Linked DNA regions of Drosophila melanogaster. The protein of the gene in region 2 interacts with the protein of the main gene of each other region in a pairwise test. Each region holds a gene or a part of one and is shown on either strand. Other genes may lie near its edges. The genes, in order: Ccp84Aa, Lmpt and synr.

Region 1 (3,017 bases), on a different chromosome or scaffold from region 2:
ATCGCGCTCCTCCACCTGTCCCTTGTTGTCACCGGTTAGCTTGTCATCGACTCCGTAGGAGAAGCGGTACTGGGGGTGGGGGTCGTACTCCTCGGCGGCCTTGACCACGACCTTTTGGGCGACGGCCACGGGGGCGTGGGCGTAGGTGGCCACCGCTGGGGCAGCATGGTACACCTGTGGGGCGGCGATGGGAGCATAACCGGCGCTGGCCACGGCGACGAAGGCGAGGGCGAAGACAAACTAAATTCAAGAGCGTTAGATATCCAACCGGAATTTCGTATACAGTTGATCCCGGATTTCCATCGAGATGACTCACCTTGAAGGCCATGTTGCTAGGAGTGCTGATTGGTAGTTCTTTACAGAAGTGAACTGGATCTGCGAATGATACTTTTCTGTGTCCGATCGACAACTTTTATAGTAAATCAAGCTGCCAGCTCTGCTCTGCTTTGGCCCAATACGCCGACAGCACGTGTTATTTTCGCGGTGACAGCGAAATATATTAAATGCTTCTCGACTGCGATTGTTGTCGGGCAATAACTTGTACTTCCTGTTCGTGGCGCTAAGCTCAGTGGGTGTGCAAATGCTTGTGGCCACAGATTCTAAACCCGTCAGCACCGAAAGAGTGAAAGATCTTTGGGGAAAGGTTTGCGTAATACCGAAAGGGCTTTGCCGGCCGCAATGTGTGGCTAATTACTTTGTTATATAACGCTGTATAAGATCGCTTTAAGAAGATATACTGATCATATATTTTTTTCTTACAAAGCAAATCGCAAAATTTTGATTAGGTTTTTTTAAAGATTTTCGAATCTTTAGAGTTCACTGTGCAATCTGATTGATATTCTTTAAATACTCTATACATATATGATTATAATTATACGAACGGATTTGCAATCTTAAAGAGTTGAATGAACTTTACACTGTGCTGGATAAGAAAAAACTCTTGAAAAAAGATTAATATTTTTTGAAATTGGTTGACACTACAAAAACTGTGGTTCTAAAAACTAAAAGCTAAGTTGGGTCTGCGTTAGTGTCCTAAGGAACACAACTACTTAGCTACATCTAAATACCTAACATTCTATTTACACTCAGATAATAATTTATCAGATACACATTTAAGAGTTTGGCATTTATGGGTCTTAGAACATAAACGTTAAAAATATATTACACAATGCATTATTTTTGTACAATATATAGAAAATCGCTGCTTCATTCAAAATAAATGCCCTTTTGCGAAGTCTGTGGGAATCAAGGCCACCCACCAGACATCCACGATCCCATCCTTAAAATATCTTGGATAATCGAAACGCTATTAGCAGATGCAATCCATTCCCAACTACCAATTTTAACGTGGGCACCGCGCGAATCCGCCGAATCCTTTCTAAATAATTGGACTGCATCTCGCATTCGCAAATCCCTTCTCCTCTCTTGGTTCTCTGCCGGCGTCTCTGCCGACTTTGCCGTTGACTTCGCAGAGCGGTGACTTCGCGCTAATTTGGAGCATGATATTCAGAAGGCCAAGCGTAAGCACCTTGCTTCACCTGAGCAGAAACTGCAAGCGGGAGCTATAAAACCGCTGGCCGGCCAGAAACCGTATCATTCAGCCATCAGCACCGTTTCCGCAAAGAACTAACCCACGAATCCAAAAACCCTATAAAATGGCATTCAAGGTGAGTCCTGTGGTATCCCACCAGAACCCGTTTCTCTAACGAATATGTTCCCCAGTTTGTCTTCGCCCTCGCCTTCGTCGCCGTGGCCAGCGCCGGTTATGCCCCCATCGCCGCCCCACAGGTGTACCACGCTGCCCCAGCGGTGGCCACCTACGCCCACGCCCCCGTGGCCGTCGCCCAGAAGGTCGTGGTCAAGGCCGCCGAGGAGTACGACCCCCACCCCCAGTACCGCTTCTCCTACGGAGTCGATGACAAGCTAACCGGTGACAACAAGGGACAGGTGGAGGAGCGCGATGGAGATGTGGTACGCGGAGAGTACTCCCTGATCGACGCTGACGGCTACAAGAGGATCGTCCAGTACACCGCCGATCCCATCAACGGATTCAACGCCGTTGTCAACCGTGAGCCCCTGGTCAAGGCCGTCGCCGTTGCCCCCGTTGTGAAGACCGTCGCCGCTCCCGTTGCCCAATACGCCGCCCCTGCTGTCGCCCACTACGCTGCTCCCGCTGTGGTCAAGACCGTGGCTCCAGTTGCCCACTACGCTGCTCCTGCTGTGGTCAAGACTGTGGCCCCAGTGGCTCACTATGCTGCCCCCGCTGCATATGCCACCTATGCTGCTCCCACCCACTACGCCGCCCCCGCTGTTGCCTACCACCCCTGAGAACTGACATTCCACATTGCCCAGCTCTTTATTGTTATAGTTTTACGAACGACTTCTATATATATAAAAATATATTTCACATTTAAAAAGGTTATATCACTGTATCCTATCCAAAGGATATGTATTTCCTGGGGCTCAATTCGATTCACGAAGCAATACAATTTATTGTAATTACTTTTGCTTCGTGAGGGCTAAATTAGAGTGGCTGTGTGGCCAATTAATTGAATTAGGCTGCGACATTGAAATTCCAAATTCCAAAATTCCAAAGTTTTAAAGTCAAATTGAATTTTTTCTTTCAATCGCTCCATTCCATTGAGATATCTATGATGTTCGATTCGGGTCTGGACGTTGGCCAATCCTATCAACGAATAATAAATCATAATCAGATCGGTGTGAAATATTCATGTGTGCTTATAAAAGCAATTAACGGATATATAATATAAACGATTTTTTCGTTTGCCGGATTTCGATTTGATTTTGCTAAATGGAACTTCAGTGACCGGCTTTCCCATTCCCCTCTTTGCTCGTACCTATTACCATTAATTTTTTGTATTTAAACAATAGAATAGACTGACTACAAATAGTACACTTCCAAAAAACTCGTATAGAATCATACTAATTAGAATTATTAAATAGAAATGATGTATCTATGAAACTTGCTGTGATTGTTCAAACTTTTCAAAATGTTC
Region 2 (4,732 bases):
CCAGGTGAACCACCCCTTGATTGCTCCTCTGCTGCGATAGAGGTTTGCAGCTTTTTGGGGGAAAGGTGAAGCGGAAAAGCAAGCGGAATGTGGGAGCAGTAGCAATATGAAAAGCAAAGAGGTAAAGCAGTTAGGACAGTTAGTTATGCGGCAGTGGTGTCTGCGATTGGTGGATTAGGTTGTGGTCGAAATTATTGGGTGAGAAATGATGCCAGGTGTCTGTGCTACGCACTTACATTGGATTTGTTGCTGTCGCTGGTATCCACTGCTTGCGGGTTGTCCTTCTCCGCTTCTTTGTCCTAACACACACATAATAAATCATTGATATAGATCCTCGGCTTGTAGATTCATTTACTCACCAACTGCTCCTTGGAAAGTTGTTGTTTTAGGGCAGCCACTGCCTGTTCGTTTTGTGCCTCAGTGGCCTCTTCAAAGGAGGACGATTTTGGCTCATTTGTAGCTTCTTCCTCCACATCCTCTCCCCTGGATGGTCTTTCTAGTTCGATTTCCTCCTCGTCTATGGAGAGCGCTTTTTCCCGCTTCCAAAACTCGGTATCCTTATAATGCTCCGGCACAACCTCACCCCAGGGATTTGTGCTCTCCTCACCGAGCATCTCTAAGGATGTGGTCGACTCTGCCGTTGGTCTAACATCCTTTGCTGGACTCCTTTTGTGACGTCGGTGGGATTTAACCCTCAGGGTAGGTTCGCTCGTATACTTGATGGGGTTATAGTCCTCTCGGTCGCCGTGGCGCAACTCCTCCTCCTCTAGCGAGGTGAACATCTTTAGTTCTTCGTCGCGGGAGGCTCGCGATTCCCGCGAGGAGTTCGAGCTTCCACTGGATCGTCGCTTCTTAAAAGCCCTTCTTCTCCCTGAACCATCCTCTCGCATCAAAGGACGATTCTTAATGCCATCTAGAGAACGAAGGTAGTCCTCGGTGTACTGGACTTCCTGTATCTGATCTTCTCCTTCAGGTTCTGGGCGTTCACTTTCGATTCTGTTGCCCTCATCAGAGGGCTGCGTGCTGAAGGACGACTGCTGGATGGAGAACGGAGTTTTGGGTTCAAGAGAGGATCCTTCATCCGATACGCCAGGGAAGGTGAGTGTTTTTGACTTTGCTGAGTAGGCGTCTTCAGGACCACTTCCTTGACCAAATTGAGTTTTCACTTTATGCACCATGGGTTCTTCTGGAGGCTCCTGAAACCTGGGTGGAGCCACTTTCTTCACACACAGCTCCTCCACCACGGGTTCCATGCCAGCATACTCGTCTGCCTCCTCTTTGCTGTGTGAGGCTTGAAGTTGGCGCTGTTGTAACATTACCATCTCCTCTTCTGCCTCAAGAAAGCGTCTGGCGTTTTCCTCAATCATTCGCTGTTTTTGCTCCAGATCAGTTCTGCTGGAGATCAGGCGACGCGACTGCTCTGCGATGGCAGCATCCTCCTCCAGTTCGCTCTCTGTAGCGCTTGGACTGAGCTCTCTTTCTGCTGCCAGAAGACGCTCTACGATCTCCGCATCCCTCAGTGCTTGCCCTTCTTCGTCAGCTTGATCGCGCTCTCGCTGAATCTCGGCATCAAAGAGACGACGCTCGGCTTGCGCTGCCTCGGCTTCAGCCAGGATCCTTTGTTGTTCGGCTCGCTCCTTTTCGGCTTCGGCCTGCTCTCTCTGACGCTCTGCCACGACGATTCTTCTTTCGCTTTCTTCTCGCTCGCGCTGCTCTTCAGCTTCTTGCAGTCTTCGCTCATTCTCCTCCCTTTCCCGTTCGGCATCTATCAGCCTTCTTTCGTTTTCTAGGCGTTCTTTCTCCTCGTTTTCGCGCTGTTTACGCTGATTTTCTTCTGCTTCTAGCTGTCTGCGTTCGGCTTCTCTTTGTTCCTGCAGTTCTTTCTCCGCCTGCTCTCTTTCGCGCTGTCTTTCCGCCTCTACGAGCTTTCTCTGCTGCTCCTCCGATTCCTCTTTCTCCCTCTGGACTCGTAGTCTTTCTTCTACCAGCTTGGCCTCGGCTTCGGCCAGCTGACGCCTCGTATCGGCTTCAATTTGCTGTTGACGTGCCAGTTCGGCTGCCAAAGCTTGTCTTTTATCTCCAGCAGGATCTACTCGTATTCCATTGACATATAGGACACCATCCTGCATGACATTGGTTCCTGCCAGGGCTTCCCTTTCCGCCGCCTCCTTGATCTGCTTATCCAATCGCTCTCGCATGCGAGGCAATTCTTCTGCGTCAGCTGCTGCATCTACAGAAGAATCGCCGGGATGTTGGAAAGTCCAGTGGTATAGATGGCGCGCCACAAAGGCGAATTCCAGGGCACCTAGGTATCCAATTAGCAGCGAGAATAGTAGCTCGCCGACGCCGGTTAGCGCCGTCTCCTCAGCGGCCATTGCGTAATGACCAGAATCGAAACGGAATCCGAATCCTCCAACGTTCGCCGATGCAATGAGAGTATGTGTCGACGAGAACCGAATCGGCTAACACGTATTATATAAAATATATTCACCACGCACTCGAAAATTCACACCACTCACGTTAATGGCCAGCCGATTAGGTAATTCGAAAAATATTTATTTCACTTTCGCTCACAAATCATTGAACCAATCATCGATATATATTCATTTATCTACGTTTTGAGACGATTTATGAGAGCGCGAAGCAAGAAGAATCGGAGATGGGCGGACTCGCCAGGCGGATGCAGTTGCTCGGGCGGCGAGCTCTTGTTTTCCGCTAATCGATCGTCTTGCAACTGATTAATGCCCCAGCCAATGCCCATGGGTCCCCCGATTTCTAGAGAACAAGTGAATCAGCGGCGAGAGAACCGCCAAGAACCGAATCCGTTCAAATGGCAAACGGCGCTAATTGACGGCCAGCGATGAGAGCAAAAGGCCTGTAGAGCTGACAAGACATCGCCGACTTTTGTCGCTGGCAATTTGGCAACACAAATGTATCTGCTTCTGTCCGCTGCCGTTGTTGCACTGCCTTGCCTCCGTGTCAAATGCCAAAGCAATCGGAATTGGCCAAAGCCGATTTTCTAATCAGTTTAGTCGACACCCCGCCGGCCGCGCCCCCTTTTCGTTTGGGGGGAACTATTTTTGGTCTATGCTTCGATTGCTGTTTTCCACAAAACACTTTTCGCCACTTTCTGCTTTGCTCGCCGTTTTCGTGCGGGAGAACAGTTAGCGACATGACCATAAATCGGATAGGGAAAATCAAATGCAACTGTCATTTCGATAACATAATGAAGAGTTTTTTAATCTCAAGCAAGTATCAAGATTTAGGGATCTTTTCTTTCCTATCCTTTTATTCAGGTTTAAAAATTCAATTTATCAAAATTAATCAGAAAATGTTTCTTTTGATATTTTAAAATAATAAAAAATCAAGTATTTTCTGAAAAACATGATCTTTCTATACTGCATACCACACATATTATTCAGACGCACAGTTGGCTGCAATAATATACAGAGCTAAGGTGCCAATTTCCATAAAAATGCTTAATTTGGCATTAATGGTCACATCGTATCTCCGATTTTAGAAAAAATAACATTTAAGAGTACAATGTTGAGATACAATTTTGTTTATAAAATGCCCAATTCTTTTGTTTATTTTGCCAATAAAATTTGGTATTCTCGAAAGTGGGAAAAATATATTTTAGCATTCGTAATTCTTATGGGCATGACTTTTACTGTTCCTGGTGTTTGCAAATCAGTTTTCTTTGGCATTGCCAGCGCCTGGGGCCAGGGTCGCCACGCCCCATTTCGCCGCCTCCGAGCGGATTGCACACAAATGTTTGCCATAAATTTCGTCTTGGCACTGACACTAACATTGCCAGCAGCTTTCAGAGGCTCTTTATCGCCGATTTCGCTGTGGTTCTCTTCTGCGTTTTCAGAATCAGTATAATTATTGTCAAACGCGGCATAATTGTGTTCTTTGCCCCACAAAGCCAAACTATTTTTGTATTCTTTTGTTTATTCTCATCATCTGATTGTCATTAGAAATTGTGGCAAAAATAGATAGATTTATATGAATAAATGGGTCATCTGGGCTCTGATATATTCATATGTTTATTTTGCTTTTCGCAACGAAAGCGAAAGTGTTTCTGATGGTAATTTAAATTTATTTTGAATAAATTTAAACATGGTTTTTTGTACAATAACACCGAAAGGCGACAGACAATGCAATTTCTTTATCCAACATTTTCTAATTAAAAATCGATCAACACGCATATAAAAAAAATTTATTTACTTGCATATTACACCCCCAATCTATTTAAAATCAAAATAAATGGATAAAGGATATTTTCAATCGAGCTAAAGCAGTTTGTGCACATCAATAACAAATTGCGAATACCTGCAGCAATTTTTAGCAATCTCTAACCTTAACCGAATGCCACAAATTTCCGGCTCACTCGCAATGAACTTCCGCTCGACGGATGACAACGCGTCAACAGCCAGTGCTGCCAATGAACTGCCTTCATTTCTTTGTTGCCATCGCCACTCGCGAGTCGCTGCATTTGCGGAGCTGGAGGATAGATATCCCCGGGATCCCCGACTCCCACAGGCAGCCAAGTGAAGTTCAATGAAAATGCCATAACCTTTGGAAAGGGCGATTGCCGCACCTATGCAATAAACGTGAACTGCGTGCGGCGGGCGATAAAAACCAGAGCCCGTGACAGCGAGCACTCACTCACACGGACACTCTTGATTTGCCAGGCGACACACAGATACCATCTGCAGACGTTGCCCCA
Region 3 (4,202 bases), on a different chromosome or scaffold from region 2:
TGGTAAGGAATAAGAAGCCTTGACCTCTAAAACCTAATAAAACATGGTTGTATATCCTTTTCAGAGGACTGGAGCTTTTTCCGCGGCGATCGTATCGAAGTCCTTGTGGGTAAAGACAAAGGAAAGCAGGGAATTGTCACCCAGGTTATACCCGAGCGCAATTGGGTAATTGTAGAGGGCCTGAACTGGCACTATCGCAAGGTTGGCGGTGAGAAGGAGTTTCCCGGTATCATTATCAAGTCCGAGGCACCTTTGCACGTCACCAAGGACATTCGTCTGGTTGACCCATCGGATCTTCAGGGCACCGACTTTGAGTGGCGTTTCACGGAGGAGGGCGAGAAAGTGCGGGTGTCCTTGCGATCTGGCCGAATCATACCCATCCCGGAGACGAACAACCAGACGCACGATTATAAAACACCAAACGCCTATATCGAAAGGGAGAAGGATACGCCAGGTATGGGCTATTATCGCATTTCAATATGTTCCTAGTCATACAAGTCTGTCCTTTTCAGGCGCTGTTGTGGGCGAGATCACCTTTCAGCCCAAGTTGTCCACATTCGAGATGGACATTATGGAGGAAATGGGCATCAAAGAGGAACGCACGCCAGTCAAGAGCTATTGGTACTAATGTTATGCCTACTGTTTATTAAAGTAATGTACAAAATACCCATATAATTGAGCAATAAGTTTAATGTCACTTGCGCACCGTGTTGAAGACCTCCTCGCGATGATCCCGGAGCGTCTTGGCCAGCCCGCATACAGTTTCCTCCGCCCTGTCGTAGTCTGGGCGCAGCGTGCTGTTAAAGGTTTCGTAGAGCCACGTGCAGGTTTTGGACATGTTTGATTCGTAACTGGTGAAGACCCGACTGGTGTGCTCGTACCTAAAAGGGATTCGTTTCCCTTTGTAGAAGATTCTAGAGAAATCTATATATTAACTTACCGCGCTTTGTTTGCTATATCCGTGATTAGGTAGGTGTTGCAGTGCTTGACGGCTAGGACTTGCCGATGACTCATGTACTTGAGTTCCACGTGCGGCAGAGCCAGCTGAGCCGCCTCTAGGGATATCGTGGAGGCGTGTAACAGACTTCGACAGTCCAACGCCCACTGAAGCTTTTGCTTGGGATCTCTGAACGAGAAATAACATGTCAACAAGTTCTAAGTGGGGAATTAATTTACCCACATTATCCGTCCAAGCTGTCGCCATTGTTTTAATGCCTGCGTCGAGGAATTCGCGGCTGCTCTAAGTAGTAATCCACAGATGCGCCACTGCTCCAGTGCGCTGCCCAGCTTATCCCTTGTATCTCTTGCCGTCTCAAGCTGCTCATCAATGCTCTCCTCCAGCCGAGTCATGTACGTTCCCCCGCTTATATACGCTATAATCCCGTCTTGCTTTACGTACAGCTCGTTCAGCTCTGCATAGCTCTCGGCCAGAGTCTTTAGACGCACCTTAGTGTGTTCCAACATCTCGCCGTAGTAACGAATGCTAAGCAAATACATGGCGGACTCGCTCAGGTTGGCGAAGAAATCCTCGTGCATGGAAGCCTTGCGGGCATCGCCAATTACGCCCAGGTTGTAGGCAAGCTAAAGTCGAATGGTAATAATATACTTGAGGGAAGTTCATCACATTCACTAATGGCAGGCCATTTACCTGGGCCAGGTCCTTGGTGGGCGTGTTGGCCACAATTGGGTCGCCCTGCCGCCCCCCCATTGTGTAAGCTGGAATGGGCAGGGCCTCCTCGGTTTCCCATTCCCTCTCGCGCAAAGGAGACACTCCCATGCCATCGAGTCCCAGCATCGCCTCGTGCTTGCTCTGAATGTGCTCCACCCAGGCCTCGGCGGTGGCCATTCGAGGACCAGGACATGTGCCCTCCAGCTTGCTGATCTGCTCGTCCAGGCGCACATATTGCTCGACCACATTCTGATGACGAAATGGAAGAGGTATTGATTATGGCAAAGGTAAGACGACTTGTTCAAGTGCTATTACTCCAGAGGCGCCATTCTGGCGAGGTTGCATTTCCGAGCTGACCTCCGTGACGACAGGATTCGTCTGCGTATCCATGGAGGAGCCACAGCCCATCACTCAGGTTGTCTGTCCGAAGTGCTGCACGAAGTTCGCCCGCTCTGCCGGCGATGACATCTTCCGTCTTAGACCTTTCCAGTTCGCCTGTCCAGCGCTGAATGAGCTTTCGTTGGGTCCGTCATGTCCACTTATGAGGGAAAACACAATAACAAAAATTATTTTTGCGCGCTAGCCATTGGACAGGGCCACACCAAATCCACCCACAAACCATTTCGGGAGGTGGGGACAGGGGCCAGCGTAGCCCCCTTGTTACCACGTATGTGTCCTTTAGAGCGGACCACTCTTCATGAAAATTGCGCATACGACATGTGCAACCATTACTATCTTTAAGTTTAAGTTATATTGATTAAAATACATGTTTCCTTAATTAAAATGCTACAATACATATGACGAGTAATACTTTTGTTCAATAGATTTTTGAAGGTTCACCCCAATAGCCCGCTGTTTGTCAACAATGTGTTATTTGCTTTGCTAGCTTTTTTGTTGGCATGTCCACTATACCTTGTTGGATTTGTGAATTGGCACACGGTGTATTTGTATTAACAAGTTAACAAAAACAACAAAGAAGGGAGCCATTAACATCTGCTTATTGTGTAGGAAATGTGCAAGCTCAGCTGAACGAAGGACGAACTCTAGTAGTCCTATAACTGGGGTACTAATCGACCCGAAACATAATCCATCAGCAGGATTATAATCTAGATTTTGATAAATTACCAGCAAATTAGAGGCTCTGCTCTGGAGTGTTTATAGCTTATTAGGATTGTAGTATGCCCTACAGAGAGAGTAAATTTGGTTATATATTTATTACTATTGGAAAAATTTAGGGACATATCTTCTTGAAGTTTTTAATAGCTTGTGCACGGATTACGATGTTAGCTATAAGTTTATGGCTGTACACATTATCATATGCTAGAACTCGTTAAGTTTTCCTGTTTCTCTCCCCATCCTAACTTCAATCCACGTTTGTCCTTAACCAGCTAATGTGCTAACCTAATTCGAAGAGCAGTGAGTTCTCCAATCCCTTGGCAATTGGTCATTAAACTTGTCCGAATGTGTGCTCCAAACATATAGTGCGACCATATGTCGCATGAGCAATGCAGTGCAACCAAACGCAAAGGCGTCGGAAAATAATGGGTCAAATGATTGCGTTTAAATAAGTAATAATGTAGTCAAGTGTCGATTAGAGTGCTGAAGTCCGAATGCAAACTTGTTGATGAATGGCGCCCAAGCTTTCTGAGCTTCTCAGGGACGAAAGTGTTAAGCAAAACATGGGAATCCAAAAACCATATAGGCGCATGCGCCATTGTGACATCCATAATCCTTCCTCCCACTTCTGAAGGATAGACTTGCCATTCAATATCATCAAACCTACATCCATACCATACCCGTTCGATATTTTTAACCATCAAAACTTTGTTTTAAGTTATTTTTTTAAATAGACAACATTTTAATAAAACAATTACGTGATTCTTTTTTAAAGGATTATGTTCGTGTGCACAAGCACCTTCTGATGAGATCTTCTTGATATTTTACTCCCTTCAGTAGGTTTTCGCATATGTTTTCACAGTCGCCAGGTTGAACTACTGGTGGTTTTGGCCAAGACCACGGCCACTGAGGTGATGGCAACGGCGGTGGTAATTGCTGGGGATAACCTGGTAATTGTGGCCACTGATTTGGATATCCGGGCATCTGTGGCCATTGAGGAACGACTGGGTTAGGTTGCCAGGGCCACACGGGATTGGGGTAGGTCGGGTTCGGATACCACCATGACCAAGGAGGAATCTGGTAAGGAGGCTGGGGATGGCAAGGGCAAGGACGACGGGTTGTTGTTGTTCTTGTAGGACTTGCAGATGGTGTTGTAGTTGGACAAGGTGTTGTTGTGGATCTAGGAGTAGTTGTCGTTGGGCGACTTGTGGTAGTTGTTGTTGTGGATCTAGGAGTAGTTGTGGTTGGGCGACTTGTGCAAGGTGTTGTTGTGGATCTAGGAGTAGTTGTCGTTGGGCGACTTGTGGTAGTTGTTGTTGTGGATCTAGGAGTAGTTGTCGTTGGGCGACTTGTGGTAGTTGTTGTTGTGGATCTAGGAGTAGTTGTCGTTGGGGCACAAGTGGAAGTTTTTGTTGTG

What was found.
Region 1: the proteins of Lmpt (region 2) and Ccp84Aa interact in a two-hybrid assay, tested with the Drosophila melanogaster proteins (2 studies listed by BioGRID).
Region 3: the proteins of Lmpt (region 2) and synr interact in a two-hybrid assay, tested with the Drosophila melanogaster proteins (2 studies listed by BioGRID).

Annotation. Positions count from the first base shown.
Region 1 is NT_033777.3:6,702,492-6,705,508, forward strand, and holds Ccp84Aa (Ccp84Aa), read left to right. Parts: upstream 1-1,592; 5' UTR 1,593-1,655; coding exon 1,656-1,667; intron 1,668-1,722; coding exon 1,723-2,328; 3' UTR 2,329-2,412; downstream 2,413-3,017. Other genes in the region: Ccp84Ab, read right to left, coding at 1-240, 317-328.
Region 2 is NT_037436.4:16,897,696-16,902,427, reverse strand, and holds the start of Lmpt (limpet), read right to left. Parts: upstream 3,014-4,732; 5' UTR 2,376-3,013; coding exon 360-2,375; intron 300-359; coding exon 237-299; intron 51-236; coding exon 1-50.
Region 3 is NT_033779.5:4,940,727-4,944,928, reverse strand, and holds synr (sayonara), read right to left. Parts: upstream 2,188-4,202; 5' UTR 2,078-2,187; coding exon 1,985-2,077; intron 1,919-1,984; coding exon 1,649-1,918; intron 1,582-1,648; coding exon 1,181-1,581; intron 1,127-1,180; coding exon 941-1,126; intron 882-940; coding exon 695-881; 3' UTR 629-694; downstream 1-628. Other genes in the region: mRpL24 (mitochondrial ribosomal protein L24), read left to right, coding at 1-2, 65-454, 513-628; Sgs1 (salivary gland secretion 1), read right to left, coding at 3,563-4,202.